Saccharomyces cerevisiae S288C: one gene and its partners. Changing the gene in region 3 together with the main gene of any one other region gives a genetic interaction. Each region holds a gene or a part of one and is shown on either strand. Other genes may lie near its edges.

Region 1 (6,644 bases), on a different chromosome or scaffold from region 3:
GTTGGCTTCATTAGTTTGTCCTCTCTTATATTTATTTATTTTACTTCCGTGGATAACGGCCTGAGGTAAAGTCCACTGCAACGTCGCTTTTTTGTTTGGACTTTCTGCAGGAATCTCCCCGACGTTGTTACCATTTTCGTTTGAAGGTGATGATGCTCCACTACTCTCTGGGCTATCGGAGGACACAAACTCGCTTGAAGTTGGAGAGTTCTTATTTTTTTTCCTAATTTTCTGGACTTTGTGTATGCTTCGCCAATCCAGATACAAAAGTGCAGCAGTTCGTAATGGAACAATACCATCATCCATGACATTGGCATATATCGTTCTCCTCTTAAAAGACTCAAATACTTTTTTAGCCGGCGCCTGTGGAAGAATTTCTAATATGTACTTGGAATGTTCTGGGTACACTTCATCGTCTGCATACAACCCATCTTTGGACGTTAACGGTGTATATTTTAAATTCAAGTCCCTTCCTGTCAAACCAAGCGCGCCCATATCCAGTGGAACAGACAAATAAAAGGGGAAGTCGCCAATAACACCGATGAAAGGACTAGCTAACGTAATAAAATTAACGGGTTTAACACCTTTAACTGCATCAAAAAAATCTGGTCTTTTAATACTTATGTAACGCACCGCCATGGATTGAGTTGGCCCTCCTAGGGAATGGCCAATGAATGATATCCTGTCTACTTTGTACTTTTTATTCAACTTATCAACAGTCTCAAGCACATACTTTCCAACTCTAACGCCCAAGCAATGTATACCGTGACCTGATTTCCCGACGTTGCCCATAAAACCTCGAACAATTATATTCGGATTAATAGACTCATCCATAGGAAACGTCATTTCTTCAATTTTATCTTTCATATATAGCATATCACACCCGATATTAGAAAATATACCATGTGTCATAATAACGAGATGTACAGGCTTTTCTGGAAATTTTGGTGGTAAATCCCAAAGGGTTTCAGTATCCCACATCTCTAAAGAGACACCTTCAATACTCTTAAAGAGCCCATTCGATTTCTTGACCACCTTCCTTGTAGTCCCTATCCTAAACGAAAATTCCAGCTTCGGAATTGTGGTTACCGCCAACTGCGAAATTATATCTATTGTCCATGAATAAAGAGAAGTGTCGCCAACTCTAGAATTCTCATTCAATAATATTTTTACTTTAAATCTTTCGTCCGGCTTTAGATTTTCAACAAATGGAATAATTTCCTTCCCTGGAAACTTGCGATTCTCATTATAGTTATGCGGCCTAACATCGATGTAAAAAGAATATGGCCCCGTCAAATAAAGCGGTCGCAGAAGCGCGCTTTCCTCGTTCTTGATCCTCAAGAATAGATGCGATACATCTAGCCCTTGTTCCTTAATTACATCTTTGTTCACGGAAAACTTGTAGCGATATAACTCACCTATTCTTAATCTCTTCCGCTCATCAACCAATAAGGTACCTCCGGTTTCATTTATCTCGAGCGAATTTTTCATTCGGTTGATTTTGTAAGGCATTAAGGGATCGAACCAAAATGGAGCAATTCTTTTATAATAAGAAGATGAATAACAGCCGAGTAAGTGATTCTCCTCCGCATTTCCTGCTGTTCATTGTTTTATCATACTGAATAAACAATCCTTAGAAAATAGCATCGATATATTCGCGCTTAACAAAGCGAAGAATTGAAACATTTTTTCAGGTGGAGGGACCGGGTAGTGCCGGATCAAGTAGTGTAGTATTTATTGTAGTACACTCTTACAACAACCCTTTAAGACGAATGGTGTGAAATCGGAAATTACTTTGTTGAAGTAAGGTGTAACTATATTTTAAGAACGTTTAAGCTGGATATCAAGATCTGAGGAGGTAGTATGAGTTCTGACGCTTCCACGTACAGACTTGAGGATGTTTTATCCAGCTTCTATAGAGTGGAGAAAATCAAAAAGATCAACTATCATCAGTACATTTCTAAAGCCCAAAACGATCAATGGTCTATCCAAATGGAATTCATGCTACGGAAGCAGGATCCAAAGACTCTAGTTGCGCTGCTTTCAAGGGATTTATGGTGTTTCAGTATAAATGATGATCCGGTACCGACACCTCCTGCGATAGAACATAAACCAGTGAGCCCAGATAAAATCGGAACTTTCACTGCCGATTATTCAAAGCCAAACTTACCGCCACACTATGCTCTTTTTTTAAAAGCTTTAAGAAGGAAAATTTACATTAATTTGGCATTAGGTTCACACAATAAGCTAATACAATTTGGGAATGCCTGCATATCATTAAGCGGAGTGCCAAATTATCTCGTACAGCTAGAACCACACCTTTTTGTAAACGGAGATCTCACAGTGTCGTTATGTGCCAAGAACATGGGATTAGTACCAATGAAGGAGGAAAATTTGGAAGAATCTTTCCTTTCAAAGCATGCGCTTTATTTAGCACCATCTGGAATAAGGATGCATTTGGCCCCTGCTTCCAAGCAAGGATACTTGATAACGCCACCAAAACATACAGAACTTCTCTTGACGACGTTAAGTGTATCTCATGGTATAAACTTACAAAATAAAAAAAATTTGAAATGGGTTGCTGTTGTTCCTGACTTAGGACATCTCAACGGCCACACACCTACTATAGCTTCGTATTTAACTCCCTTACTTGAAGCAAAGAAGCTAGTATGGCCGCTGCATTTAATCTTCGCCCAACCAGTAGCTGATATAGAAAATTCTACTTCCGGAGATCCATCAGAATTTCACTGTTTGCAAGATGCTCTGGATGCCATTGATGATTTCATACAATTAAAGCAAACAGCTGCCTATAGGACTCCAGGAAGTTCCGGCGTATTGAGCAGTAATATTGCTGGTACAAATCCCTTAAGCTCAGATGGAGCATATACAGAACAGTTTCAACATTATAAGAACAACTCAATTAGTTCTCAACCCGCTTCTTATCATTCTGTCCAAGAAACTAATAAGATATCTCCGAAAGATTTCTCCCCTAATTTCACAGGCATTGATAAATTAATGCTGTCGCCCAGCGATCAATTTGCTCCAGCTTTCTTAAATACCCCTAATAATAACATCAATGAGAATGAATTATTTAATGATAGGAAACAAACTACAGTATCAAATGACTTAGAGAACAGCCCACTGAAAACGGAACTGGAGGCAAATGGTAGATCACTCGAAAAGGTAAATAATTCCGTGAGCAAGACAGGAAGCGTAGACACACTTCATAATAAAGAGGGAACACTGGAACAACGAGAACAGAACGAAAATCTGCCAAGTGATAAAAGTGACTCTATGGTAGACAAGGAATTGTTTGGTGAGGATGAGGATGAGGATTTATTTGGCGATAGCAATAAATCGAATTCTACAAACGAATCGAACAAAAGTATATCGGACGAAATTACCGAGGATATGTTCGAAATGTCTGATGAAGAAGAAAATAATAACAATAAAAGCATTAATAAAAATAACAAGGAAATGCATACTGATCTTGGTAAAGATATTCCATTTTTTCCCTCATCTGAAAAACCGAATATCCGTACGATGAGCGGAACTACAAAAAGATTAAATGGAAAGAGGAAATATTTGGATATTCCGATAGATGAAATGACCTTGCCAACGAGTCCATTATATATGGACCCAGGTGCGCCACTCCCTGTGGAAACACCCCGCGATAGACGCAAAAGTGTGTTCGCTCCACTGAATTTTAACCCCATAATAGAAAACAATGTTGATAACAAATACAAATCTGGAGGGAAATTTTCCTTCAGTCCGTTGCAAAAGGAGGAAGCATTAAACTTTGATATTTCTATGGCGGATCTTTCTAGCTCTGAAGAGGAAGAGGATGAAGAAGAGAACGGTAGCAGCGATGAGGATCTAAAGTCATTGAACGTACGCGACGACATGAAACCTTCTGATAACATCAGTACTAATACTAATATTCATGAGCCTCAATACATAAATTACTCTTCGATCCCAAGTCTACAAGACTCTATTATAAAGCAAGAAAATTTCAATTCAGTAAACGATGCTAATATCACTAGCAATAAGGAAGGCTTCAACTCTATTTGGAAAATTCCTCAAAATGATATACCACAGACCGAGTCACCACTGAAGACCGTTGATTCATCTATTCAACCCATAGAATCCAATATAAAGATGACCTTGGAAGATAATAATGTTACCAGTAATCCGTCCGAATTTACGCCGAATATGGTAAATTCTGAAATTTCTAACCTACCAAAAGACAAGAGTGGTATCCCCGAATTCACACCGGCGGACCCCAATTTATCTTTTGAATCATCAAGTAGTCTACCGTTTCTATTGAGACACATGCCGCTAGCATCTATACCGGACATTTTCATCACGCCTACTCCCGTTGTTACAATTTCAGAAAAAGAACAAGACATCTTAGATTTAATTGCAGAACAAGTCGTCACTGATTATAATATCTTAGGAAACCTCGGTATTCCAAAGATCGCCTATAGGGGAGTTAAAGATTGCCAAGAAGGTTTAATAACAACCACAATGTTACAGTTATTTTCCACTTTCGATAGATTAAATGGCAATGATACGATCTCCAAATTCTATAACATGAAGCAGCCGTACGTTTTTGTAAAGAAACATCACGAACTAATCAAAGTCAAACACGACTCTCAGCCATTTATTAAGTTCCTCAATTTTCGCCCTCCAAATGGAATAAAAAACTTCAAATCCTTATTATTAAGTTCATCTTTCAAAGAAGATTGTCTGTCATTTGCGCCAACTCTATCTCAAACATATATTAATCAAGAGTTAGGGTTTTGTGAGTTGCTTAAACTAACTAATGAAGACCCGCCCGGACTGATGTACTTGAAGGCATTTGATAAAAACAAGTTACTGTTGTTAGCTGCGCAGATTGTTTCATACTGTTCTAATAATAAGAACTCCATCAAAAACGTGCCACCAATATTAATAATTTTACCCTTGGATAATGCAACTCTGACTGAATTAGTAGACAAGGCGAATATTTTTCAGGTGATCAAGAACGAAGTTTGTGCCAAGATGCCTAACATTGAACTATATTTGAAAGTTATTCCTATGGATTTCATTAGAAACGTACTGGTGACAGTGGATCAGTACGTCAACGTAGCAATTTCTATATATAACATGCTGCCGCCAAAATCTGTAAAGTTCACCCACATTGCGCATACGCTGCCGGAGAAAGTGAATTTCAGAACCATGCAGCAACAGCAAATGCAACAGCAACAGCAACAGCAACAGCAGCAGCAGAATAACAGTACAGGATCATCTTCTATAATATATTATGACTCGTACATCCACCTGGCATACTCGCGTAGTGTAGATAAAGAGTGGGTTTTTGCAGCTCTTTCAGATAGCTATGGACAAGGCAGCATGACGAAAACGTGGTACGTCGGGAATTCCAGAGGAAAATTTGACGACGCATGTAATCAAATATGGAATATCGCCCTAAATTTAGCGTCTAAAAAATTCGGAAAAATATGTCTAATTTTAACTAGATTGAATGGCATACTGCCGGATGATGAATTGATGAATTGGAGGAGACTTTCTGGTAGGAATATACATCTTGCTGTGGTGTGTGTGGATGACAACTCTAAAATCTCCTTCATAGATGAGGACAAATTGTACCCTAGTTTCAAGCCGATCTACAAAGACACTAGGTTTGGAGGACGCATGGATATGACCAGATTATACGACTATGAAATAAGGGATATAGACCAGGACATCCATGGAATAGTATTTCAGCACCCGTTCCCACTGGCACACTCACAGCATCGCTGTGCTATTAGGAGTGGTGCTTTGATCAAATTCAAAAAATGCGACGGTGATACGGTTTGGGACAAATTCGCAGTCAACCTTTTAAACTGTCCACATTCTGATAGTACACAATTGCTGGAAACCATCTTAGAAGAGTTTCGCAACCTGGCTGCTCTAAACGTGTGGTACGGTCTCTCTGATGGCGAAGATGGCCATATTCCATGGCATATCCTAGCCGTGAAAAAAATGATGAACACTCTTGTGCACACCAGAGTAAAAATTGCTAATACTTCCGCCGCTACTGTGCATACCGCTACTTCTTCATCAATTATTCTCTCGGATAAATAAACTTTTTCCGGCAACGTTTTCCTGCTCATCTGTAGCCCTATTTACCAGTTTTGGTTTTAGTATTATTCCGGGGTGTAAACCCAGAAGTCTATTTCTCCAGTCGGATTTATAAAAACAAAACCGGAAGCGGGGCGGTACGGCATTTTCACTGGTGATGCACGCCCAGCGTGTAGTCCGAGACAATTTCCACAGAACGCGAATGAGATTGCGTTTAAGGCTGTATTTTCAAGGCACACGAAGCGGCCACGTGGGTCTGCGATGGTGTGTTGATGATGTCAAGAATGGTATCATACTCCGTATAAGGTTATGTAATCGGAAGTCGCGATTCTTTTTCAATTTTTTCTTTTTATTTTTTTCCAGTTTTTTCGTCTCTGCGATGGAAAATTGTTGAAGTTCTCTTGATTAGCAAGTAGTTCTTACATCGCAGGAATCTTATGTTGCATAGCTCAATTTACAAAAATAACAAGGATAAATATATATATATACGCATATACTTTTTGGGTGTTAAAGTAAATTTT
Region 2 (2,973 bases), on a different chromosome or scaffold from region 3:
CGTGAGCAAAAAGTAATCGTAATAAACTGTACCTGTTTAAAAGAAGTTGAAAAAAAAAATGCGTAATAGCCCAAAATCCCTAGTATATTCAGTTGCTCTAATCGGAGCAAAGATGTTTGAATTTTACTAATCAATAGTTGGAAAATGAAAGACCGATAGGGTAGGGGGGCGAAGGGTGACAACTAATTATGTTAACTAGCCTAGGTTACCGTATGTCCTTATAATAACGAAGTAAATCTCAAAAAATTTCAAATCACAAAGTGGCTCTAACTAAACCTGCTTGATATCGTATCTCGCTAATACACTTCCTCAACGCCATAATTTCTTGTTAACGTTCCACCAATATCAACTTCTTGTCCCCTTTCTTTCCTTCCGCATTGGCGCCGCGTTGGGTTCCCCGGCTTGCAAATAACGACGATGAGTATAGCTTATTATGTATGTAGGTAATAAAGGCAAGTTACATACTACGATCCTGTGGGAGTGGTGGCAAGCACTACTAGACAGTTTCCATAGCGGGGTTACGTTTGCTCAAGGTTTTGAACTCTAGTTTCTACATCTTGGCTCTCCGTTTTCTGTTTCTTTTCGGAGGACTCTTCTACGTCCTGTAATGCATCGCCTTGTTCTTCTATTTCGTCATGCTCTTTAACCTTTTCCACGGGCACATTCTCCTTATCTTCACCCATATCTATATCGCCATCAGCATCTACTTCACCACTATCTAGTTTTTCCTTCTTCCTCTGTTCAACAGCAGCTTGGTATTCATCTAGTTTATCTCTAACCGGACCCTTCAATGCCGAGTGTCCTATATGGTCCAAAGCACTCAGAACATCATCTACACTGCAGCTTTTTTTATCTTGACTCTTTGCAATTTCCCTTGCAAACAGGAGCAAGTGGTTAACAAATACTGTAGCACCACGCTGTAACGCTAGTGATGCGTCTTTATTTATCAGCAGCTTTTTGCCGCTTTGCTGTGGCACTTCGCGTGCCAAATTCACAATAGTGCTTTTAGGAAATAACAGGTCCTGAATCGTAATGTTCTCTTGTTCTTTAATATACGAAGTAGTGGGGTAATTCCCTTGGGCGTCTTTTCTCCAACCTTTTGGTGGCATCGTGTGTAAAAATATATGGTCTGATATAAATAAGCAATGAAAGGCTTGACTTCTATTTCAAAGTATTAAATAATTAAAAAAATCCTTCCTTTCACCTAAAACCTCTAGGTAATATTCTGTGGCTTCTGCTATTGTGCCGCTATGAATAACAATTTTAAGCTCTGATGATCGAATCTGGTTTTTAACGTTATTCCAATTTGAGCCTTTCTTTATTCGTCCAAAGGGATAAAGCATTATTTTTTTTTCATCGCATTCAATGCTCATCGCAAAGTTACAGATCCTGAGCAGTCATAAGTTGATACCTTTCCTCTTACAATGTAGATATGGAAGGTTTCTTCAGGATACCCCTCAAGCGGGCAAATTTACACGGAATGTTGAAGGCTGCTATATCCAAAATTAAAGCGAATTTTACCGCGTATGGTGCACCAAGAATCAATATTGAGGATTTCAATATAGTCAAGGAAGGAAAAGCAGAAATTCTTTTCCCTAAAAAGGAAACTGTTTTCTATAATCCCATCCAACAATTTAATAGAGATCTAAGTGTTACATGCATCAAGGCGTGGGACAACCTATATGGTGAGGAATGTGGCCAAAAGAGAAATAATAAAAAAAGTAAGAAGAAAAGGTGCGCGGAAACTAACGATGATTCTTCCAAGCGTCAAAAAATGGGAAACGGGTCACCAAAAGAAGCCGTTGGTAATTCTAATCGAAACGAACCTTATATAAATATTTTGGAAGCATTGTCAGCCACTGGGTTAAGAGCCATTAGGTATGCTCATGAAATTCCCCATGTGAGGGAAGTTATTGCTAACGATTTACTTCCAGAGGCTGTCGAATCTATAAAACGAAACGTTGAATATAATAGTGTCGAAAACATTGTCAAGCCAAACCTTGATGATGCTAATGTCTTAATGTACCGTAACAAAGCGACGAATAATAAGTTTCACGTCATCGACTTGGATCCTTACGGTACCGTTACACCTTTTGTAGATGCGGCTATTCAGAGTATTGAGGAGGGTGGTCTAATGCTGGTAACTTGCACTGATTTATCCGTTTTGGCCGGTAACGGATACCCAGAAAAGTGTTTTGCCTTATATGGTGGTGCAAATATGGTTTCTCATGAATCAACTCACGAAAGTGCGCTGAGACTAGTATTGAACTTACTAAAGCAAACTGCCGCGAAATACAAGAAAACTGTGGAACCGCTTTTGTCGTTGAGCATTGACTTTTACGTCAGAGTTTTTGTCAAAGTCAAAACAAGCCCGATTGAAGTCAAAAACGTTATGTCAAGTACTATGACTACTTACCATTGTTCCCGTTGCGGCTCTTACCACAATCAACCTCTGGGCAGAATTTCTCAACGCGAAGGTAGGAACAACAAAACATTCACCAAATACTCGGTTGCGCAAGGGCCTCCGGTTGATACTAAATGTAAGTTCTGCGAGGGGACATACCATTTAGCTGGTCCAATGTATGCAGGACCTCTACACAACAAGGAGTTCATCGAGGAGGTGTTGAGAATTAATAAAGAAGAGCATCGTGACCAGGATGATACATATGGAACACGTAAAAGAATTGAAGGTATGCTATCTCTAGCTAAGAATGAATTATCCGATTCGCCATTCTATTTCAGTCCTAACCATATTGCATCGGTAATAAAATTACAAGTACCTCCCTTGAAAAAAGTAGTCGCAGGCCTAGGTTCCCTAGGCTTTGAATGTTCATTGACACATGCCCAACCATCGTCCCTAAAGACTAACGCTCCATGGGATGCAATCTGGTATGTGATGCAGAAATGTGATGATGAGAAGAAAGACTTAAGCAAAATGAATCCAAATACTACGGGCTATAAGATTTTATCGGC
Region 3 (6,672 bases):
AAACTCCTCAAATATATCATCCCAATCATTTCTATCTTGTGAGAGAACAGTTAGTTCAGTTCTTTGATTTTGTTCATCCTTTTGGACTTTTTTTAGCTCGTCATCAAAATCTGGTAAAGAGATTTTCGATCTATCTAGATTAAAGGTTTGTGAAGTATCAATCATAGATTGCATTGCAATCATAAATGATTTAGATGAATCAGCAGAGTATTCAGTTGACATCTTGAGCCGGCTATTGATGGTACGGATCTACTTCTCACAATTCCAATGGTGTTAGAAGATATTATGAACATGTTTAATTTCAATATGTTCAATACATATTCCATTCTCGGTCATTACCCGAAACGTATGCCAGAACAGTGACTGTTAAAATAAAGTAGTGGAAAAAAGCATAATATATATACAAGGTGTGGTTTTAAATCTATTTCTTTTCAAGAAAAGTGCACATTCATGTATATGAACTAACTACATTTAAGAATTATATAAACATTATGGACTCCTGCTTATTCAGATAAAAATTTTATTATTTCATCGACAGTTCCTGTTTTATCCCATGCTGATTTACTTTTCCATATTATTTTTGCAACGGACGAATGAACATCTTCTAATTGAGAAACCGTAAAATTCTGACAGTGTTCGATTAAGCATGCAGATACTTTTTTTATTTGTTCGGGCGTCAAAATAAGCTCCTTGTCGCTCTTCTTCCCTTGCTCCGGTTCCACAACCTCTTTTGGTATCGGACTTCGTTCCCTTTTTTCTACCGTTTCGTGGAGGGAATTTGGTTTGTTAACCGATTGAATTTCCTTTACGTGATTTATATTATTAGTATTAGCGTCTATTTTGCTGAAGTTTTCTTCCGTAACCTGCGTTTGCAAAGAGTCTTCATTCTCTTTTGGTTCTTTTCTGGCCCTTTCATCATCATCGGTGGTTATCTCTGACGTGCAAGTGGCCTGTATCAGTTCCGTTGTGTATTCTTCATTTGCACCGCTATCCTCAGGGATGACCGCTTTTTCTTTATCTACTGCAGAGGGAATTGCCGCAGGAATCTCCTTTTTATACAGGTTGGTATCAATTGGTTGAGGGACCTCGCTGTTATTAACGATAGAGGCTGTATTGATAGTTGTTTGCAGCTGAGCTTGCAATTGATTACCAGCAGCTACACCAAACTCATTAGCCTTGTTATCCTTTAAATCAGGTTCTTGCAGTATATTTTCTTGACTCTGTTCTTTGGCTTCTAATTCCATTGCAGCTCTTTTCTCTTCATCTTCTAAGAAAAGTTCCTGCCTTTCCAAATCCCTTTGGCGAGTAGCTTTACACTCTTGAATAAAATCCGGGGTTGAAATTTCTTCGATACCCATTTGCGCGTTGGCAAACATCTCAGAGGCCTTAATGACACGTTCTCTGTCCCCAATGGTATTTGCATCCCTGTATATCAGTTCAATGTCTTTTAAAAACTGTTTTGGTTCTGAGTAATAGCCATTCCAAAGTCTCTCTTCGACAATATCCAAATCCATGTTAAAAAACTTTCGCCCTGTTGAAACCTCCAGAATCATGTTCTCATCTTTTATATATGCAGGTTGCCAATTGGGATCATTGCTTGTCTCTGGTTCGAAAAGATGAACCAAGAAGGCATCATCAATAGGTGGTTTTCTAAACCTTTTATATCTGTTTTTAAAAAGATCCATCAAGCCTGAGAGTTTGATTTTTAACACATTTTTCAATCTCATATCTTGGTGTTGAAAAGATTTCAACTTCCTTCTTAATACCACTTTTTCAGACAGTGGCTCACCATTTTCATCAAAATTTGTTGGAGCTGCGTTTGAAGTTACTTTTTGTAATTCAGGTAACGGTTTGACTCTTCTCTTTTTCATGGGAATATCACTTGGCTTTGTTTTCAGTAGTTCAATTAAATTAGAAAAATACCTCGTTATATTCTCTTTGGATGGTTTATGCAGTTGAAAGATATTTTTATCAAAAGCAAAATCAGATAAAATACCATTTTTAACTTCAGATATATCAAGATTTTCAGCTAAGCATAATAGAAGAATTTTTTCATTGCTTTGTAAAGATCTGAACAAACCTGATAAGACTAAAATAACGTTTTCTGGAATAGTGTTGATCCAAATGTCTAAATTAGGAATAAATACAACTGAGGGCTGTCTTTTCTTTGCTTCCATAAAACTTTGCACTACAGCAGCTTCAATAGTCCTAGAACTTTCCGAAACCAAAGAGGCAAGGTCCAGGTTTTGGACGTTGAATTCTTCTAAATAATTTAAAATTGCGGCTCCGACATATTGTTGACCATTTCCCTTGGGCCCATTTATTAATAACCGAGGTTTACAAATTTGTGATTCCGCCATCGATTCGAAAAACTCATATGATCTAAAACTGGATGTATCTTCATTTCCTCCATATTTGTCATGCTCTTCTTCCTCTCCACTGTATTCTTCATAATCGATGAAATTTTGTAGCAATGATGTGTTTCTCTGAAAAGTTGTGTCTTTAATGTTCAGCATATAATCCAGCTTGTTCTTTAAATTATTAAGTTGATCTGCCAGTAATGGTTTGATTAATTCAGGTAGTGGCTGAGGAGAACTACCAGTAGATCTCGCAGATGACGGAACAATTTTTTTCAAAGCTAACATGAAATCGCTAACTTTGACTTTAATCTTAGAAGGGTCCACCAAGAGTTTATCATTTGACCTATAAATTTGAGGAAAGCTTCTTTGTATACTTATTAGTGCAGCCTCAGTGCATAGGGACCTCAGATCAGCACCACCATATCCTTTGGTCAAAAAAGCCAATTTATCAATGAAGTTGGTTGACAACGGTGAACTCCATTTCCTGGTCTGAATTTGCAAAATTTTAAAACGTGCTTTAACATCAGGTAATGGAAAATAAAATTCTCTATCAAATCTTCCCGGCCTTCTTAATGCGGGATCCACTGCATCGGGTCGATTTGTGGCTCCGATGACAATGACTTGGCCTCTATTGTCCATACCATCCATCAGCGCTAATAATGTGGAAACAATACTAGCATGGATCTGTTCTTGTTTGGAACTTCTCACAGGCGCTAATCCGTCGATTTCATCAAAAAAAATGATGGAAGGTTGATGTTTTTTAGCTTCTTCGAATAACAAACGGAGTTGTCTTTCAGCTTCACCAACCCACTTGGATAAAATATCTGCACCTTTACGCATAAAAAATGTGATCTTCCTTTCATCAGAAGAACAACTTGCTGCTAACGCTCTTGCCATAAGTGTTTTACCCGTACCAGGAGGACCATGGAAAAGAACACCCCTTGGGGGCGTGATATTAAAATTTTGATACAATTCTGGGTATAATAGTGGTAAGGCCACCATTTCCTTTAATTGGTCAATGTAGTTGTCTAAACCACCTATATCGTCAAAATTTACATTCATGTCTACGCCTAATGGATCGAGGTCTGCAATTTCTGGTTTTTTCTTCTTCTTTTTTTGCGTGTTCTCTTTCTTTGTTTTCGGTGTCACGCCAAGAGGTAATATCTCATCATCGGAAGAGTCTGAATCCAGTATTAATTTATTGTTGTTATTATCACTGAATGCAGATGGGACTTGGTTGTAAAAATTAGTATTCTTACCAAATATTGTAGTTACGTCATTGCCACCAAAAGGTCCACCAGTGGGAAAAAGCCTTCTTGTGGGACCAGAATTTTGACTAGCATTCCAACCACCGCGACCACGCCGTGCAGGTGATGGGTTATGAAAAGAAAGTGCATTGTTATTCTTATCTATAAATTCTTCTGCGTTGCTAGCAGTTAGTGGTGGTGGTAATTTGTAATTTACCGGCTTAGTTCTTTCGCGAAGAAATCTTTTTTCCCTGATAGGACTATCTTCCTGTAACTCTCTAATTTCATCAGCTAAAGTTAACGCTTCATTCCTGCTATTATCATTCTCATCGTCATTTTCTTCATTTGAAGTACGCGAATGTCTTGTCCTACTTCTTAAAGCTCTTCTTACCGGTGGTGGAGTTTCTGGGTGACGTGACGATCTTGTTCTTCGAGAATTTGCCCTTTTCAAACGTTTAGAAGAAGCCGAATGGCTTATTCTGTCTCCTTCTTCGTCATCCTCATCGTATTCTTCATCGTCATCAGGGTCTGGTACTACAAATTTCCTATCGGCCGCTCTGCGCCGACGGTTGTTATCCTTCGAGTCTTCATCCAAATACTCATCTTCAAATTCGTCTGCTTCTTCCTCCTCTTCATCATCGTCGACATCTTCCTCATGAAAACTTTCGTCATCTTCTTCTGGATCATGCGCTTTTCTTTTTCTCAAGTTCCTTTCATTAGTAAGCTCTTCGTTCGTTCTGGCGTTTTCGTGCGGTGATACAAGATCAACATCATCGTCTTCATCATCGCCTTTCTGGTTGTTGTTATGATGTTCATCACTAGTAACATCAACGGGCGTCTCATCTTTGTCCATGACCTGGTCATCTTCCAAAAAATCAAACACTTTCTCAATTTCTGCGTAGTTTATTTTTCTCAAAGAGCGAGTTGTTGTATGGATTATGCCATTTTCGTCTTTAATCTGTGTTTCATACCCAACCTTTGCGTTGCTTGCATCTTCAACGTCGCTACCGCGTCTATTCCTTAAATTTCGTGCCATGTTCTTTCTGCACCAATTGTGAATAAATAGCGAGAAGAGAGAAATAGACCGTGGTAACTTCTTTTTATGACTGTCGAAAACAACAATGGGTTAGTAAGGAGTACGCAAGATCCTTCAGACGTTTTGCTTTATTTAAGACCCTACGCAGTTCCTTTTCTGCTCCTTTTCGTCCCAATATTGCTCTTTCGCTACCACTTTGTCCTTTTTCGCACACATGGCCGTACAAAATAACAGACGGTACGTTTTTAGTGATAATAAACAAGTTTATAGAGGCAGAAAAAAATTCCTCAGCGGCTAATGCCTCAACAAGTTCAGCTGCAAACGATGAAAAGACGCACACAAAAGCGAATAGAAATAACCGATCACCACAGTTCCTCTTTAAAACATCTCAAACTCAGCATTAACTTTCAAATCAATCCAGTGAAAGTATGCTTGGTTTGACACTTCACTGCCATTTCCTCCTGCCTGCCTATCTGATGCTTTGCCACCACAAGAGTGTTTTCCCTATGGCTTAATCGCTTTTTTCCATTTATTTTTCTCTTTCCCCCTTTTAATAGAGGGAAGAGAGCAGAACATACAAACATATCATTTTCTACGGTATAGCCTCCGCCTCCATCTTTAATAGTGACACTTCCATCAAGGGAATAAAGAGGCTTCAAGTCAAGAACTAAGCAGTCCCAAAAAATACCCATAAAACGAGTATAAACCATACTGTTATGTCTAAAGACACGCATGATGATGAACTGCCGAGCTACGAGGACGTAATCAAGGAAGAGGAGAGATTGCAATCTCAACCGCCACGACCACCAAGACCAGCAGCTAACTTGGCGCAAGGGCACCAATCAAGACCCCACCAAAGGCCCTCGACAATGCCAGCAACGTCCTCATCCCAAACATATGCTCACTCACACTCTTATACGCCTACAAGTTCCCAACCACGGCCTCCACCGAGGCCACAACAGAATCCTAGCTTGCCCTGGACATACCCTCCCAGGTTTTACTGTTCCAAGTGTGGAAATACGGGTTACAAGTTGAAGAATGGACGATCTTGCAAGTCGTGTTGGAGGAGGTTTGCACCTCAAAATAACGTTGTTTCTGCACCGACATATTACACAAACTATACAATGCCCGTGTACACCAACGCATGGCAGGGTAATAGGCCCTTGTACGTTCAACCAGGGGATCCTCGCCTGGGTGGCGTGCTATGTGGTGAATGCAGAGGGTCCGGACGCACCAGATTCCTGTTGGACGAAGATATATGTCCTCTTTGTCATGGTGTAGGCAGAATTATCACCCAGCCTCAACGCTATTAGCGCATGAAAATTTAGGATTTGGATGACCCGGTACGGCCTTAGTAGAAAAGCTGTGTCGCTCACCGAAAAGAAAAAAGACCGAACAACTGTAGGATGAAAAGCATATTTTAATGCTCCTAATTTTCAAACATGTCTATTACATACTTATCACATAATCCGACTGATTTGCCCTTCTTTAACTTCTTTCATTTATTTTTACGGTGCCAACCGTCTGATCGATATAGCATCCGTTCATAAAATATTATACGACTCCATCCTCAATCGTGATTGTGCGTGCGTGACTCATTTTTTGTTAGAACCAATACTTTCAATCATCCCAAAATGCATAACATCCAATTAGTGCAAGAGATAGAAAGACATGAAACCCCGTTAAACATTAGACCTACCTCTCCATACACTTTAAACCCTCCTGTCGAGAGAGATGGGTTTTCTTGGCCAAGTGTGGGTACAAGACAACGTGCAGAGGAAACTGAAGAGGAGGAAAAGGAACGAATTCAACGCATTTCAGGCGCTATCAAGACAATTTTGACCGAACTGGGTGAAGATGTCAACAGAGAAGGTCTACTAGATACTCCACAAAGATACGCTAAAGCCATGCTTTATTTCACTAAAGGTTACCAAACGAACATTATGGACGATGTCATTAAGAATGCTGTCTTTGAAGAAGATCATGATGAAATGGTTATTGTTCGTGATATTGAAATTTACTCGTTATG

Evidence for each region. A genetic interaction does not mean that the proteins touch.
Region 1: mutations in YTA7 (region 3) and SSN2 together harm fitness more than expected from each alone (negative genetic interaction), as found in Saccharomyces cerevisiae (3 studies listed by BioGRID).
Region 2: mutations in YTA7 (region 3) and DPB4 together harm fitness more than expected from each alone (negative genetic interaction), as found in Saccharomyces cerevisiae (2 studies listed by BioGRID).

What each region holds. Positions count from the first base shown.
Region 1 is NC_001136.10:1,345,158-1,351,801, reverse strand, and holds SSN2 (Ssn2p), read left to right. Parts: upstream 1-1,863; coding exon 1,864-6,126; downstream 6,127-6,644. Other genes in the region: YDR444W (putative hydrolase), read right to left, coding at 1-1,512. UniProt on the Saccharomyces cerevisiae protein: Component of the SRB8-11 complex. The SRB8-11 complex is a regulatory module of the Mediator complex which is itself involved in regulation of basal and activated RNA polymerase II-dependent transcription.
Region 2 is NC_001136.10:691,721-694,693, reverse strand, and holds DPB4 (DNA polymerase epsilon noncatalytic subunit), read right to left. Parts: upstream 1,110-2,973; coding exon 519-1,109; downstream 1-518. Other genes in the region: TRM1 (tRNA (guanine26-N2)-dimethyltransferase), read left to right, coding at 1,433-2,973. UniProt on the Saccharomyces cerevisiae protein: As accessory component of the DNA polymerase epsilon (DNA polymerase II) participates in chromosomal DNA replication.
Region 3 is NC_001139.9:1,025,341-1,032,012, reverse strand, and holds YTA7 (chromatin segregase YTA7), read right to left. Parts: upstream 4,644-6,672; coding exon 504-4,643; downstream 1-503. Other genes in the region: SLH1 (RNA helicase), read right to left, coding at 1-222; HUA1 (Hua1p), read left to right, coding at 5,360-5,956; FOL2 (GTP cyclohydrolase I), read left to right, coding at 6,278-6,672. UniProt on the Saccharomyces cerevisiae protein: Functions as an ATP-dependent nucleosome disassembly factor that helps evict canonical histone H3 from the 5'-end of genes upon their induction.